Coturnix japonica: one gene and its partners. The protein of the gene in region 2 purifies or fractionates together with the protein of the main gene of each other region. This does not show direct contact. Links are inferred from orthologs where the notes say so. Each region holds a gene or a part of one and is shown on either strand. Other genes may lie near its edges.

What was found. The genes of interacting proteins can lie anywhere in the genome.
Region 1: the proteins of KLHL22 (region 2) and EMC1 purify together in Homo sapiens (co-immunoprecipitation; 3 studies listed by BioGRID and IntAct, with this or other methods). This does not show direct contact. The link is inferred for Coturnix japonica from reciprocal best matches to the Homo sapiens genes KLHL22 and EMC1.
Region 3: the proteins of KLHL22 (region 2) and NUDCD3 purify together in Homo sapiens (co-immunoprecipitation; 3 studies listed by BioGRID and IntAct, counting the BioPlex papers as one, with this or other methods). This does not show direct contact. The link is inferred for Coturnix japonica from reciprocal best matches to the Homo sapiens genes KLHL22 and NUDCD3.

The regions. Positions count from the first base shown.
Region 1 is NC_029536.1:4,062,381-4,066,440, forward strand, and holds the start of EMC1 (ER membrane protein complex subunit 1), read right to left. Parts: upstream 2,801-4,060; 5' UTR 2,785-2,800; coding exon 2,684-2,784; intron 2,613-2,683; coding exon 2,488-2,612; intron 2,217-2,487; coding exon 2,151-2,216; intron 2,066-2,150; coding exon 1,972-2,065; intron 1,795-1,971; coding exon 1,666-1,794; intron 1,533-1,665; coding exon 1,406-1,532; intron 1,268-1,405; coding exon 1,118-1,267; intron 972-1,117; coding exon 804-971; intron 697-803; coding exon 625-696; intron 257-624; coding exon 200-256; intron 1-199. Other genes in the region: MRTO4 (mRNA turnover protein 4 homolog), read left to right, coding at 2,892-2,919, 3,472-3,530, 3,598-3,701, 3,794-3,875, 4,003-4,060. UniProt on the Homo sapiens protein: Part of the endoplasmic reticulum membrane protein complex (EMC) that enables the energy-independent insertion into endoplasmic reticulum membranes of newly synthesized membrane proteins.
Region 2 is NC_029530.1:7,309,771-7,313,528, reverse strand, and holds the end of KLHL22 (kelch-like protein 22), read left to right. Parts: intron 1-71; coding exon 72-264; intron 265-1,146; exon of another isoform or gene 1,147-1,179; coding exon 1,180-1,413; exon of another isoform or gene 1,414-1,930; intron 1,931-2,095; coding exon 2,096-2,473; 3' UTR 2,474-3,258; downstream 3,259-3,758. UniProt on the Homo sapiens protein: Substrate-specific adapter of a BCR (BTB-CUL3-RBX1) E3 ubiquitin ligase complex required for chromosome alignment and localization of PLK1 at kinetochores.
Region 3 is NC_029537.1:104,876-109,067, forward strand, and holds the start of NUDCD3 (nudC domain-containing protein 3), read right to left. Parts: upstream 2,801-4,192; 5' UTR 2,734-2,800; coding exon 2,545-2,733; intron 1,622-2,544; coding exon 1,329-1,621; intron 1-1,328. Other genes in the region: PPIA (peptidyl-prolyl cis-trans isomerase A), read right to left, coding at 3,725-3,860, 3,994-4,166.

The DNA.
Region 1 (4,060 bases), on a different chromosome or scaffold from region 2:
ACGTCAAATTCTGCTGCAGAATCTCATGTGAGCAAGCATTATGGTTTCAAAATGTTTTTAGATGGTTTATCTATAGGTGCTGTGAAACATCAGCCTCCAAAACCAAGGTGTAACACCTTCTATGCTCTGTTCCCACAAGCAAAGGAAGAAAAAGGACTGTCAAGAACTTTTATGGCATATGGGAACTTGTTTTTCATACTTGTTTCTGGGAATCCTCCAGAGCACTTCCATGAAGGCCATCAGAACTCCCAGGTTTCTGCAATGAGGATGAGAGAAGGTAACGTGATTTGACACTGCCATGAGAGCGTGATAAATGAATTGCTTTGTGTGCTTGGCAATCTCAGCTTGGCTTTAAAAGCAGCAGAGAGTTATGCTAAAAACGAGGCTGTGCTCAGCTCAGTGCCCGTAAGAACTGAAATCTACTGCAGTGAACGTATACGTGACACAACAGCTTAGACAAGGTGAGCCTAGGCTGGATGTAACCAAGACCTGCATGCATTACTTCTTAGGCCTGAAAAGATCATTAAATCCCACTCTTTCCCAAGCTACTCATCATGCAGGCCTGCAAAGGAATAAGCGTGGAACCCACTCTAAGCCACATTCAGATGACAGAGCTGCACCTACCAGCTCATTCCTACAGGTCAGCACAGCAGCAACAGTTTTCTCCCCAGTAGTTGCAAAGCTCACCAGGGCTGCCTGAAAAAAAGGGAAAAAGAGAACGGAGCAAGAAATGATAAAACACAATAAAAAGGGGTGTTTGTTGTTAGCAGTGTTAAGCTGTGTTGGCCCTTTCTCCTGGTTACCTGCTGGAAGTCCCTCAGGTGGCTGAGCAGCCCCTGTTTGCACTGCAGCAGGGAGAAGGAGCCCGGAGAGAGCTGCAGGAAGAACTGAGTGCGCGAAGCGTTGATCACACTGGGCTGAGTAGCCAATATCCTGGGCTGGAAACCATCAGCAAACTCCAGGTCAAGCGACTGTGGAAGGGAAACAAGCACATGCATTGATGGAAACTTCTTCCCCAGTGAAACTAATAGCTTCCTTGTATCAGCAGCAACAGACAGCACCGCCAGGCACCAAATCAGCTGGATAACTGCACACGAAGCCTCTCAGCACTGCTCACCTGCAGCGGGATCTGCTTCATCTCCTGCTCCGTCTCCAAAGAGCAAACATAGAGCGAACGCGTGGCTGCGTCTGCACACACCAGCACTGCCTCCCCCACCACGTTGCAGGCTCCATTTAAGCTCTTCAGCCACGGGGCTGCTACTTTGGTCTGCCAAGAGAGACATCAAGAGATGAAGACGTCAACAGCATGATGATGTTTAAGGAATGAACTTACATACACAACTCCATGCACTGTGTTTGTTCATATCAAATTTGCCACATTGGATCCACAATCGAGCACAACTACCTGTTCTATGACTTCTCCATCCTCCACACTGAGCGTTAACACCTTCAGATGGCTCTGGGGGACAACTCCGAGCACATGGATCACTCCAGCCCCACGGGAATACAACATCTGGTATCGAGTATCCTCACTGTGCGAGAAACAAAGGGCACGAGGCATCGTTTGCTCGTCTTATTGCTTCCAAAGCTTTTCAAGGACATGAAGCATCCTGAGTTGGGCTGTGAGTCTGAACTTTCTTTCTTCAGCTCCAAATACATCCTCACCTTTCAGGCAGCTGTTCCACCCACTTCTGGTGCCCGTTGGACAGGTAGTGCAGGGAGATGGCCGCCTTCTTCAGCACTGCCACGTACTTCACCGCGTCCTGCAGCCCCACCAGACTCGCGGCCTGGAAACTGAGCACAGGTCAGAGATGGTTGATTAGAGAATGATCTGTGGGCTCTCAAACAGGGGGAGCTGTTGGATACAACCATCCAGATTTTCAAAGCCTGATGTCCAAACTGCTGTACTGCAGACAAGGTACGTTAAGCTTACTAACTAAATACTGACTTATCCCTGGTGCCCAGCGCTACCTGCCCGTGTCCAGCGACGTCTCCCAGTTCAGCCCTCCGATGTTGGTCTCCCAGGAGCGCAGGATGCGCCCGGCGCTGGATACGGTGATGGCATCTACACAGGGAGCAAAGGGAGCTGAGCCCAGAGCCAGGGCATCCAACACGGGGAGCAGAGCAGCTGCTGTGTGTGATGTGCTCACCTTGACCATGGATCAGCATCGCGTCGATGGCTCCTTCAGGGCCGGCCTTGTCTGCATGGCGCCACACTGAGACACAGAGCGAGAAGGAGATGGGCACAATGAGGATGTTGCTGACTGCTCTCAAACCCACGGCCCTGGGACCTCCCAAAGAGCCTCACTGCAAAGAGCCATGTCCTCACTGCAAAGAGCCATGTCCTCACTGCGGGAGCTGCAGCTTGGATTTCAGGGCCAACATCCCCCTGAAGGAGCACTGATAACTGGCACACATAGGCTTGGTGTCACCCTCATAGTGGATATACAGCACTGTGGGCTGTGACCCACACCCCGCCCCACTCACGGATGTCTCCGCTGCGGGAGTTGAGCGCAGCCACCACGTTCTTCTCGGTTCCCACCAGCAGCTTCTTGGAGCCCTGCGAGGCCTCCAGCGAGGCGAACTTCAGCTTCCCCACGTACTGCTGCCTCCTGCGGGGACGGGCAGCGTTACACGGACACGAGCCGTGGGTTTAGCCCCGCATTGACAGCCCGGCACTCACCAGTCGAACTTCCCCACTTGATCCTCGTACACGGCGGCCGCCAGCGGCAGCAGCAGCACCCACAGCCCGGCCGCCATGACAGCGCCGGGACCTCCCCGCATCACGGGGCTGCCCTGCGCTGCGCCTGAACGGGGAGGCACCGAGCGGGGCAGCCCGCACATCCCCAGCAGCACCCGCGGTGCCGGGGGGCCTCGAAGCACGGGGAGCCATGCCGAAATCCAAGCGGGACCGTAAGGGTGAGTGAGCGGCTCATGTCGCGGCGTTCCGTCCTCCCCTTCCCCATTAACCATTCAGGGGGATGGAGCACCTCCCCTATGAGGACAGGCTGAGCGAGTTGGGTTTGTTCAGCCTGGAGAAGAGAAGGTTGCGGGGTGACCTCATTGCAGCCTTTCAGTACATGAAGGGAATCTACATCCATGAGGGGATTAAGCTCTTGGAAAGGGCTGACAATAGCAGGACACGGGGAAATGGTTTTAAGCTTAAAAAGAGGGAAGATTTTAGGTGGATGTTAGGGGGAAGCTCTTTCACTAGAGATGGTTTAGGCCTGAACAGGCTGCCCAGGCAGGTTGTGGATGCCCCGTCCTTGGAGGTGTTCAAGGCCAGGTTGGACGGGGCCATGGGCAACCTGATCTATGGGGTCTCTATGGGGTCTATGGGGTCTCCTGGGCAACCTGATCTAGTAAAGGTGTATGTTTGGTGGCCCTGCCAGGCAGGGGGGTTGGAACTACACGATCCTTGAGGTCCCTTCCAACCCGGGTCATTCTGTGAACCACGTCCCCTCCCCGCAGTGTCCCTGACGCGGACGCCTAAGAAGGGACTGGAGGCCAAACAAGCGCTGATCACGGAGGTGAGTCGTGCCCAGTGCGCGCTGCCCCGCTCCACCCCATTAGGCCCCGCTAACCGCTGTCGTGCAGCTGCGGCGATGCGTGGACACCTACAAACACATCTTCATCTTCTCCGTGGCCAACATGAGGAACAACAAGCTGAAGGACGTGAGGAACGCATGGAAACACAGCAGGTGAGCAACGGGATGGGGAGTGATGGAGAGGGGTCAACCCCATCATCATCACCATCATCATCATCATCATCTTCCTCTTGGTTGAATTGTAGGATCTTCTTCGGGAAGAACAAAGTGATGATGGTGGCGCTGGGCCGGGAGCCAAGCAGCGAATACAGGGAGAACTTACACAAGGTGGGAGGGAACTCGGTTAGAAACAACCGGCACAGCTGTCCGTAGGGGGGGGTTCATCCATGGAGGTGATGAGGGCATTTCCAGCCTTAACTCTGAGTCTCAGCACCTCTGGGCTCCTTTATCACAGGTCAGCGAGCACCTGAGGGGTGAAGTTGGTCTCCTCTTCACCAATCGCACCAAAGAGG
Region 2 (3,758 bases):
AGCGCTGTGTGTATTCCAGCAATAATTCTGTGGATTATGAATCACTTTCTTTGATCCGATTCTTTCACAAGGTATGACCCACGACACGACAAATGGTTCCAGATCCAGTCCCTACAGCAAGAGCATGCTGACCTCAGTGTTTGTGTTGTGGACAATTACATATATGCCGTCGCAGGCCGAGATTACCATGAAGACCTGAGAGAAGTGGAGAGGTATGACCCTAAAAGCAACACTTGGGAATATGTGACACCTCTGAAGAAGGAGGTAAGGAGTGCATTAGCCACACGCACTAATACAGTTCCCCAGTTCCTAATTTCATCTTTTTGGTGCTTTTCTCATGCATAGCTTTCATTTTGCCGATAATCACTTGGGAAGCAGAAGCTTCTGTATTTAAGATAAACATACCAATAAAGAATAATAACAATGTATAACTTTAATTTTGGTGTTTAATGCTTATTTTTCTTGTTTTCTTCCTGTTTTCCCTTGCACCTCTGTTGCATTAATCCTTAAAATCATTTCAAATTGAACATGTAAGTCAGGGAACTTCCCATTCCTCCTGGGATATGTAAGCCATGAGTAGTACAAGCTTCTTATCTACAGTCCTGATAAGCATGCTTCATTCCCAGTTAGAAGAAATCATCAAATACTAGGAAGGTACCATAGGATCACAGAATGGCTTAGGTTCAAGGGATCTTAAAGATCATCTAGTTCCAACCCCCCTGCCATGGGCAGGGTTGCCAACCACTAAATCAGGCACTAGATCAGTTTGCCCAGACCCCATGCAGCCTCCACAACTTCTCTGGGCAGCCTGTTCCAGTGCCTCACTACCCTCTGAGTGAGGGTACATCAGTTTCTATATACTATTTAGTTCACAGACTAACAAGTAGACAAGGGAGAGAAGTAATTATATGGATGAGTTTCTAATTAAGAAATAGTAAGGAATGACAACCCACTGTAATTTTAGAAGTTTGGAAATTCTGGGGTAATTAATTTAGAAATTCATGCTTTCAACATAATCACCTTGAAAGGAGTTGGCTATAAGAAAATAGAAAGTCCTTCCAGATGTTAATATCTGTATAACTATAACATAAATGTCACTTATTTAATGTCTATTCCATACTTTGAAACTGGGAGAAATACACAAACCTCGAACTCTTGCTTTCCCACATGGTTATGCAGGTATATGCACACGCTGGAGCAGCACTGGATGGGAAGATGTATATTACCTGTGGGAGGAGAGGAGAAGATTATTTGAAGGAGCTGCAATGTTATGATCCAAAGACTGACCGCTGGGAAGTTTTAGCAGATAGTCCAGAGAGACGTGCTTGGCATGGGATGGCTGCACTGCTGGGAAAGCTCTATGTAATTGGAGGAAGCAACAATGATTCTGGCTACAGAAGGGATGTTCACCAGGTGAGAGCATATCATACCTCTGTCTTGGAAGAGTCTGTTTCTTACAGATGCTTGCACACTGATGTCTTACTCCTCCTATGTGCACAAATAAAACTGCTGAGCAACAGCATCAGCTCTCTTCCACTTAATTGCAGAACTTGCCATAATTTATTTTCTGCTCTCTTGAATGCATTATCTAAGCATTAAAGCTGTAGCATTTGAGATTCATGTAAATTCTAAAATATCTTTGCTGAATGACATTCAATCCCATGCATATAGCCCATAAGTAGCACATCAGCTGAGTTTCCTTTACCTTGCCTTCCCATATGCATTTTTTCCTAGGTTAAGAACTTTGGAATTAGCAGTGTACAGTCGCAGGACAGGATTTGTTAAGGATACATTGGAAAGTGCTGTGAATGGATTGGATGGCAATTGTATAATGCAATAAAATGTACAGTACCTGATGGGCAGCGATGACTGGAGAATTTTCTTGTGTCTCATTCTGACTTCTGTAACTGCTCAAGACATGAAAAAAGACCTAAAAATAAAAAAATAAAAATAAAAAGGAATCGCTTTGATAAAGCCAATGAAGGTAGCAAAATTTAACCTAGTTAAAATATACCTAAGTAGCTTGCCGTACAGCCAGGCTCTGTCACTAAGATCCAAGTTCAGTTTGGGCTAATGTATTTTTTATTTTTTACAGGTTGCCTGCTACAGGCCAAGCACTGATCAGTGGACAAATGTATGTCCGCTTCCTGCAGGACATGGAGAGCCTGGTATTGCTGTCTTAGACAACAGGATCTATGTCTTGGGAGGCAGATCCCACAACAGGGGAATCCGCATGGACTATGTCCACATTTATGATGCAGAAAGAGACTGTTGGGAGGATGGACCCCAGTTGGAGGATGATATTTCTGGGATGGCTGCCTGCGTCCTCACCTTGCCCAGGGCTATTTTAATGGATACAGAGAAATGGTTCTCAGAATGGCACACAGACCGCATGAAGTATCACCTTGACCTTCCGTCAGAAGTTATGAGCGTATCAGACTGGGAGGAATTTGATAATTCAAGTGAAGATTAAAAAAATGTAATATTTATTTTTTGCCAGTAGTTGAGGAAATTAAGTCTTGAAAGAAGAAAAAAATAATCACAAAGATTTTATATGTCTTTCTTATATCCATAAATATTTAAAAGGAATAAGTATTTAAAAGTTTGAAAAATAAGTGTTCTGCACAAAATGACATTTGCTGTCATTATCTGCTCATCTGCAAGTGTTTTGCACAAAATGTCACTACGAGTCAGTATCTTCTTACCTACCAGAAAGCAGGATTTTTAAAGTAACCACAGAACTGCCATTTCCTCCCCGATAAAGTAGGGGGATTCTTTTCCTTTGAAGGAGGCTTCTCTCAACTTTCAGCATGGACAGAGAAATAAAGAAGGCACAGAAAGCTCAGTTTGACTGGCTTCTTTCCTTCCAGCTTTTAGTGTGAAATAGCTTTCTGAGTCTGGGGAGATTTGTTTTTCCTAGTAATTACACCTTATAGCAAGCCTAACATAGGAAGGTAAGAACTAACATCTCCCTCCTGTGCCAGGCGTCAGACAGCTTGATCATTTCTAGCCAGACTGAACATACAGAAGCAGGAACAGTAGTAAGAAATCTGAACCTTCATCTCATCTGGGCACGCAGCCATCCTCATAACTGGGTTAGAGTCTGTGAACCAACACCCACTCCTGAATTTCTATACTACAGGTGCTGACAATGCAGCAGAAAGAAAATTTCTAGAAATAGCTCTTTGTACAGAATATGGCAATCTCATCATTCAGCTGTCAGACACATTTCTTCACAAACATAAATTAATTAATAAACCTTTGTCAGAACTTTTTTTTTTTCCTTTTAACTACTGTCACAGTTTTCTTAACCATGATGTGGAATCTGAGAGATGGAGTTCAATTAGATCCCATGTTACTACATTATTATCAGTGAAGATACACCTGGTTGGGGAATGGGCCTATTTTTTATTCACTCTTTTAATATGCACTTTACAGAAGGATAAAGAGTGCAGATATGGGTTTGCTTCAGATGAGGAAGGTAAGTAATAAGCAGATAACAGGCAGTAGTGGAGATGTCACTTATCCATGACCCTATGGTAGCTGAACTAATGACAGGAAAATAACAATCACCACAGCTCAGAAAGAGAAGACACAGAAAAGCCTTTGTTTAGGAAGCCTAAATGATTCACTTCTGACTGTCATTTTGCCTGACAGTAGTTTAGAAACTGCTTTAAAGTCCAAGCTGTTGTGATACATGGACATTAGGGGATCCCTCCCACCTGGAGGGGCAGGGACTAATGGGTGCCACCAGAAAA
Region 3 (4,192 bases), on a different chromosome or scaffold from region 2:
TTGGTGGTGATGGTTTCCTTTACCAGTTGAGGGGGGTGGAGGGGGGGGGGAAGGGAGAAGAAAAATGTTTTTGTTTAATCTCTTTTCTGCATTCTTGCTGCTGGCGCTGCATGTTATTCATGCGCCCCTTGTCTCCAAGCTGGCGGCTCGGGGTTTTGCTCAGGAGGGGTTGTGCAGAATTAAGCAGCTGGTTCAATTATTAATAGCCTGTCAGGGGTGCCCTGGATGCCTGCTGCCTTTCGGGGGGCTCCAGTGCCCCCCAGAGGCACAAACACCAACTACAGCAGCAACCTGTTGCCTGCTCTGCCCTACTTGGATCCCACAGCCACGCTGCCCCATTCCCTTCCCCAGCCCAGGTTGGGAACACGCAGGTCACAGCTGAGGCAAGGCACAAGAGCTCTGTTGGTTCCAGTGGGGCTTTTTTTTGGCTCGTTAATTCTGTGAGGTGTCAGACTGCCCCAGGGACAATTTCCTTCATGGGACAACAGAACGTGGCTTTTCAGGTCGTATCACTTGTGGCTTCTGGCTTATTTTTACCCCATGCAACACAGGTCAGGCTGGCTGAGCTCAGCACAAAGCCTTCTCACTCTCACCTGACCGAGCTGCTGGGCACCTTCCCCTCTCACTCCATTCTCTCTATCCATCCCACCCCAGCTTTTCCAGGACCTGGAGCTGTCACACATCAGTGCAGGACCCACGGGCTTTGTGCCATCTCACCCTGGCAGGGAAGGGGAGCTGGTTGGCAGCAGCTTTCAGACACGCTGGGGGGACTTTGGAGCAAGGACGTTTTTGGAGCGTGAGGCTGCTCAGCCCAGCTTGAAAGCCCCCAAGTTCAGTGAAAGGGTACATAAAGCTCTGAGCAGTGTCTGATGTAGCTTCAAAGCTGGCTCTGCTTTGAGCTGAAGGCCAGGGCAGAGACCTCTGGAGCTCCCAAACTGTGCACACCCAATGCTGATGCTGGCCTTGCCACTTGCCCACACGGATATTTAGTATGAGAGCGATCTGCAGAGCACCCATCCGGCTCTGGGAGCTCCCACCGCACACATATGGGGCACAGACCCCAAATTTCCATGAGGAAAAGGCTGCGGGACAGCATCTGGATTTCCCATTCAGCCTCCAAGAACAGTGACCTCAGTGTGCACAGCTCCAGCACACAGCAACGCAGAGACACGACGACCCCCTGCCCTCAGCGCAGCCACAAAACCCCAAACCCCCAGCACAGAACACAGCTCTGCCTCCCACGGGGGATCACGCAACCCCTTCCACCCCCCCACCCTGCCAGCCCCTGCCAGCGGGGCGAGGAAAGCAGCACGAGGGGGGAGCCTTACGTGGGCAGCTCGGCAGGTGAGGGCTGTGCAGGGGGCTCTGCTGGCACGGGGCCGGCTGCTGCTGCCGGGGCTGTGGGTGAATCCTGCGGCCCCTCCGCATCCCCCGCGTCCAGCGAGGGCTCGGGCTCCTCCGTGGTCTCTACCTCAACCTCATGTGCAGCCGGGGCCACTCTCACCCTCTCGGCAGACGCGGCAGCTTCCTCCTCCTCCTCCTTCTTGCGGAGCTTTGCCTCCAGCTCCCGGCAGCGCTTCTCATCGTCCTGCCGGGCCATCCGCTCAAACACTTTGAACGCCTGCAAAAAACACAGTTGGCTGCCAGGGAGAGGACAAGGAACACGTGCCTGGGGCCGCACTGCTGTGCCTCCAACCGTGGGTATCACATCGCACACTGCCTACACCTGCACCATCAGGACAGACCTGGCCGCAGGGTTTTGCTGCCTGTGCAATGGGCTGCAATGGGCTGCCAGCTCTCAGCAATGGGCTGCAATGGGCTGTGAGCTCCTCAGCAATGGGCTGCAATGGGCTGTGAGCTCCTCAGCAATGGGCTGCAATGGGCTGCAATGGGCAGCAATGGGCTTCAATGAGCTGCCAGCTCTCAGCAATGGGCTGCAATGGGCTGCAATGGGCTGTGAGCTCCACAGCAATGGGCTGCAATGGGCAGCAATGGGCTGCAATGGGCTGCAATGAGCTGCAATGAGCTGCAATGGGCTGTCAGCTCCTCAGCAATGGGCTGCAATGGGCTGCCAGCTCTCAGCAATGGGCTGCAATGGGCTGCAATGAGCTGCAATGAGCTGCAATGGGCAGCAATGGGCTGCAATGGGCAGCAATGGGCAGCAATGGGCAGCAATGGGCAGCAATGGGCTGCAATGGGCAGCAATGGGCTGCAATGGGCAGCAATGGGCTGCAATGGGCAGCAATGGGCAGCAATGGGCTGCAATGGGCAGCAATGCGCTGCCAGCTCTCAGCAATGGGCTGCAATGGGCAGCAATGGGCTGCAATGGGCAGCAATGGGCAGCAATGGGCTGCAATGGGCAGCAATGAGCTGCAATGGGCTGCAATGAGCTGCAATGGGCTGCAATGGGCAGCAATGGGCTGCATTGGGCTGCATTGTGCTGCAATGCGCTGCCAGCTCCCAGCGCTGCCGTTGTTGGCCCCGTTCATCCCCGTGGTGCCGGGGGGTCCGTTTATCGGGTGACACGGGCGGCCCCTGCGGTACCTGCATGGCCATGGCCTGCGCGGCGCCGGGCGGGAAGCCCAGCCGGTCCCCGGGCCGCAGGAGGAGGCGGTAGAAATCGGTTTTTCGGTAGAGGAAGCCGAAGAGGACTCGCAGGAAGTCGTCCACGTTGCCGACGTGCTGCAGGATGCCGAGCAGCGCCTGGTCGTACATCTCGGTCAGCGCCTCCATGGCGGACCCGGCCCGCTGCCACGGCAACCGCCCGCCCGGCTCCGCTTCCGGTCCGTGCGAGGCGCCGCTTCCGGTCCTCCTCGCTGCTCATCTGCGCGGGGAACTGAGCCGAGCACAATGGTTCCGGGCAACGGGAGTTCCGGGCCGCGCCGCCGCAGCACGAGACCGAACCGGGGGGGGGGATGTGGGGAGGGGCGACCCGGGAACCGGCTCCATATCCCGCTGGAACGGGAACAGCCTCCGCATGTGGAGGGGTCCCAGGCAGAGAACAGCACAACACGGCAGCAATAGGGCGCTGCTGCCCCCCCCCACGTTGGGAACACTGGGAGATCCTCAGGTTCCCCCCCAGAGCGGGCAGACGTCTCTAAACCCCCCCATACACAAACCCCTGCTGTGCTGGACAGATGGGGGGGACACCCCCACAAACCCTATAGTGGGGGACACCCCCCACACCGATATCCAGGGGGGGTTTCTATTCCCCTCTCCCCCCACCGAGTAACCTGGGGGACAAACCCCCTCTGCCCCAACTCCCCCCCATCTCCCCATCCTGGGCTCCCCCCATTCACACCCCTCAGGTCCCTAAAGAAGCTGCCCGAGGCCCCGTGCCTCAGTTTCCCCACGCTGGGAGGTGCAGGAGCAGCACTGCAGCCCCTGTGGGGCCGGGGGGGCTGAGCACAGCAATAGGGGGAGGAGGGGGCCTCACACCCCCCACATCTGCCCCTATTGAGGTCAGTGAGCCACTTCATGGCAGGAAGGGAACCAGATCCCATAGGGGCCCCCACTCTACCCCCCCACGTCAAAGAAGAGCAGCCGTGCGGTGGTTTAACTCGTTTTATTTAGACTCATAATAACTCTGCAGTCCGGTCGGACTGTGCACATGCGGCGAGACCCAGTAGAAACGCAGCAGTAAATCAGGAGCACGAGGGGAGGGGGGGCCGCACCGGGAGCTGCCCGGGCTGCAGGCGGAATGTCAGGCGTTAAGACACAGGGTTTACGAGAGCTGCCCGCAGTTGGAGATGGTGATCTGCTTGCTCGTCTTGCCGTCCTTGGAGCCGCAGCGCTCCATGGCCTCCACCACGTTCATCCCCTCCTTCACGCGGCCAAAGACGACGTGCTTGCCATCCAACCTGCAGAGAGGTGTGGGTGCCATTGGAAACCACTGAGTACCATTGGAGGCCATTGGGTGCCACCAGGGTTGGGGATGCAGCTGCCTCCCCCCGGGGTCCCCACGTTGTGATGCTGTGCCCCCTCCCCACTCACCACTCGGTCTTGGCGGTGCAGATGAAGAACTGGGAGCCGTTTGTGTTGGGGCCGGCGTTGGCCATGGACAGGATTCCAGGCCCCGTGTGCTTCAGGATGAAGTTCTCATCGGCGAACTTCTCCCCGTAGATGGATTTGCCCCCGGTGCCGTTGTGGCGCGTGAAGTCACCGCCCTAATAAAACAAACGTGTTTCTGGTT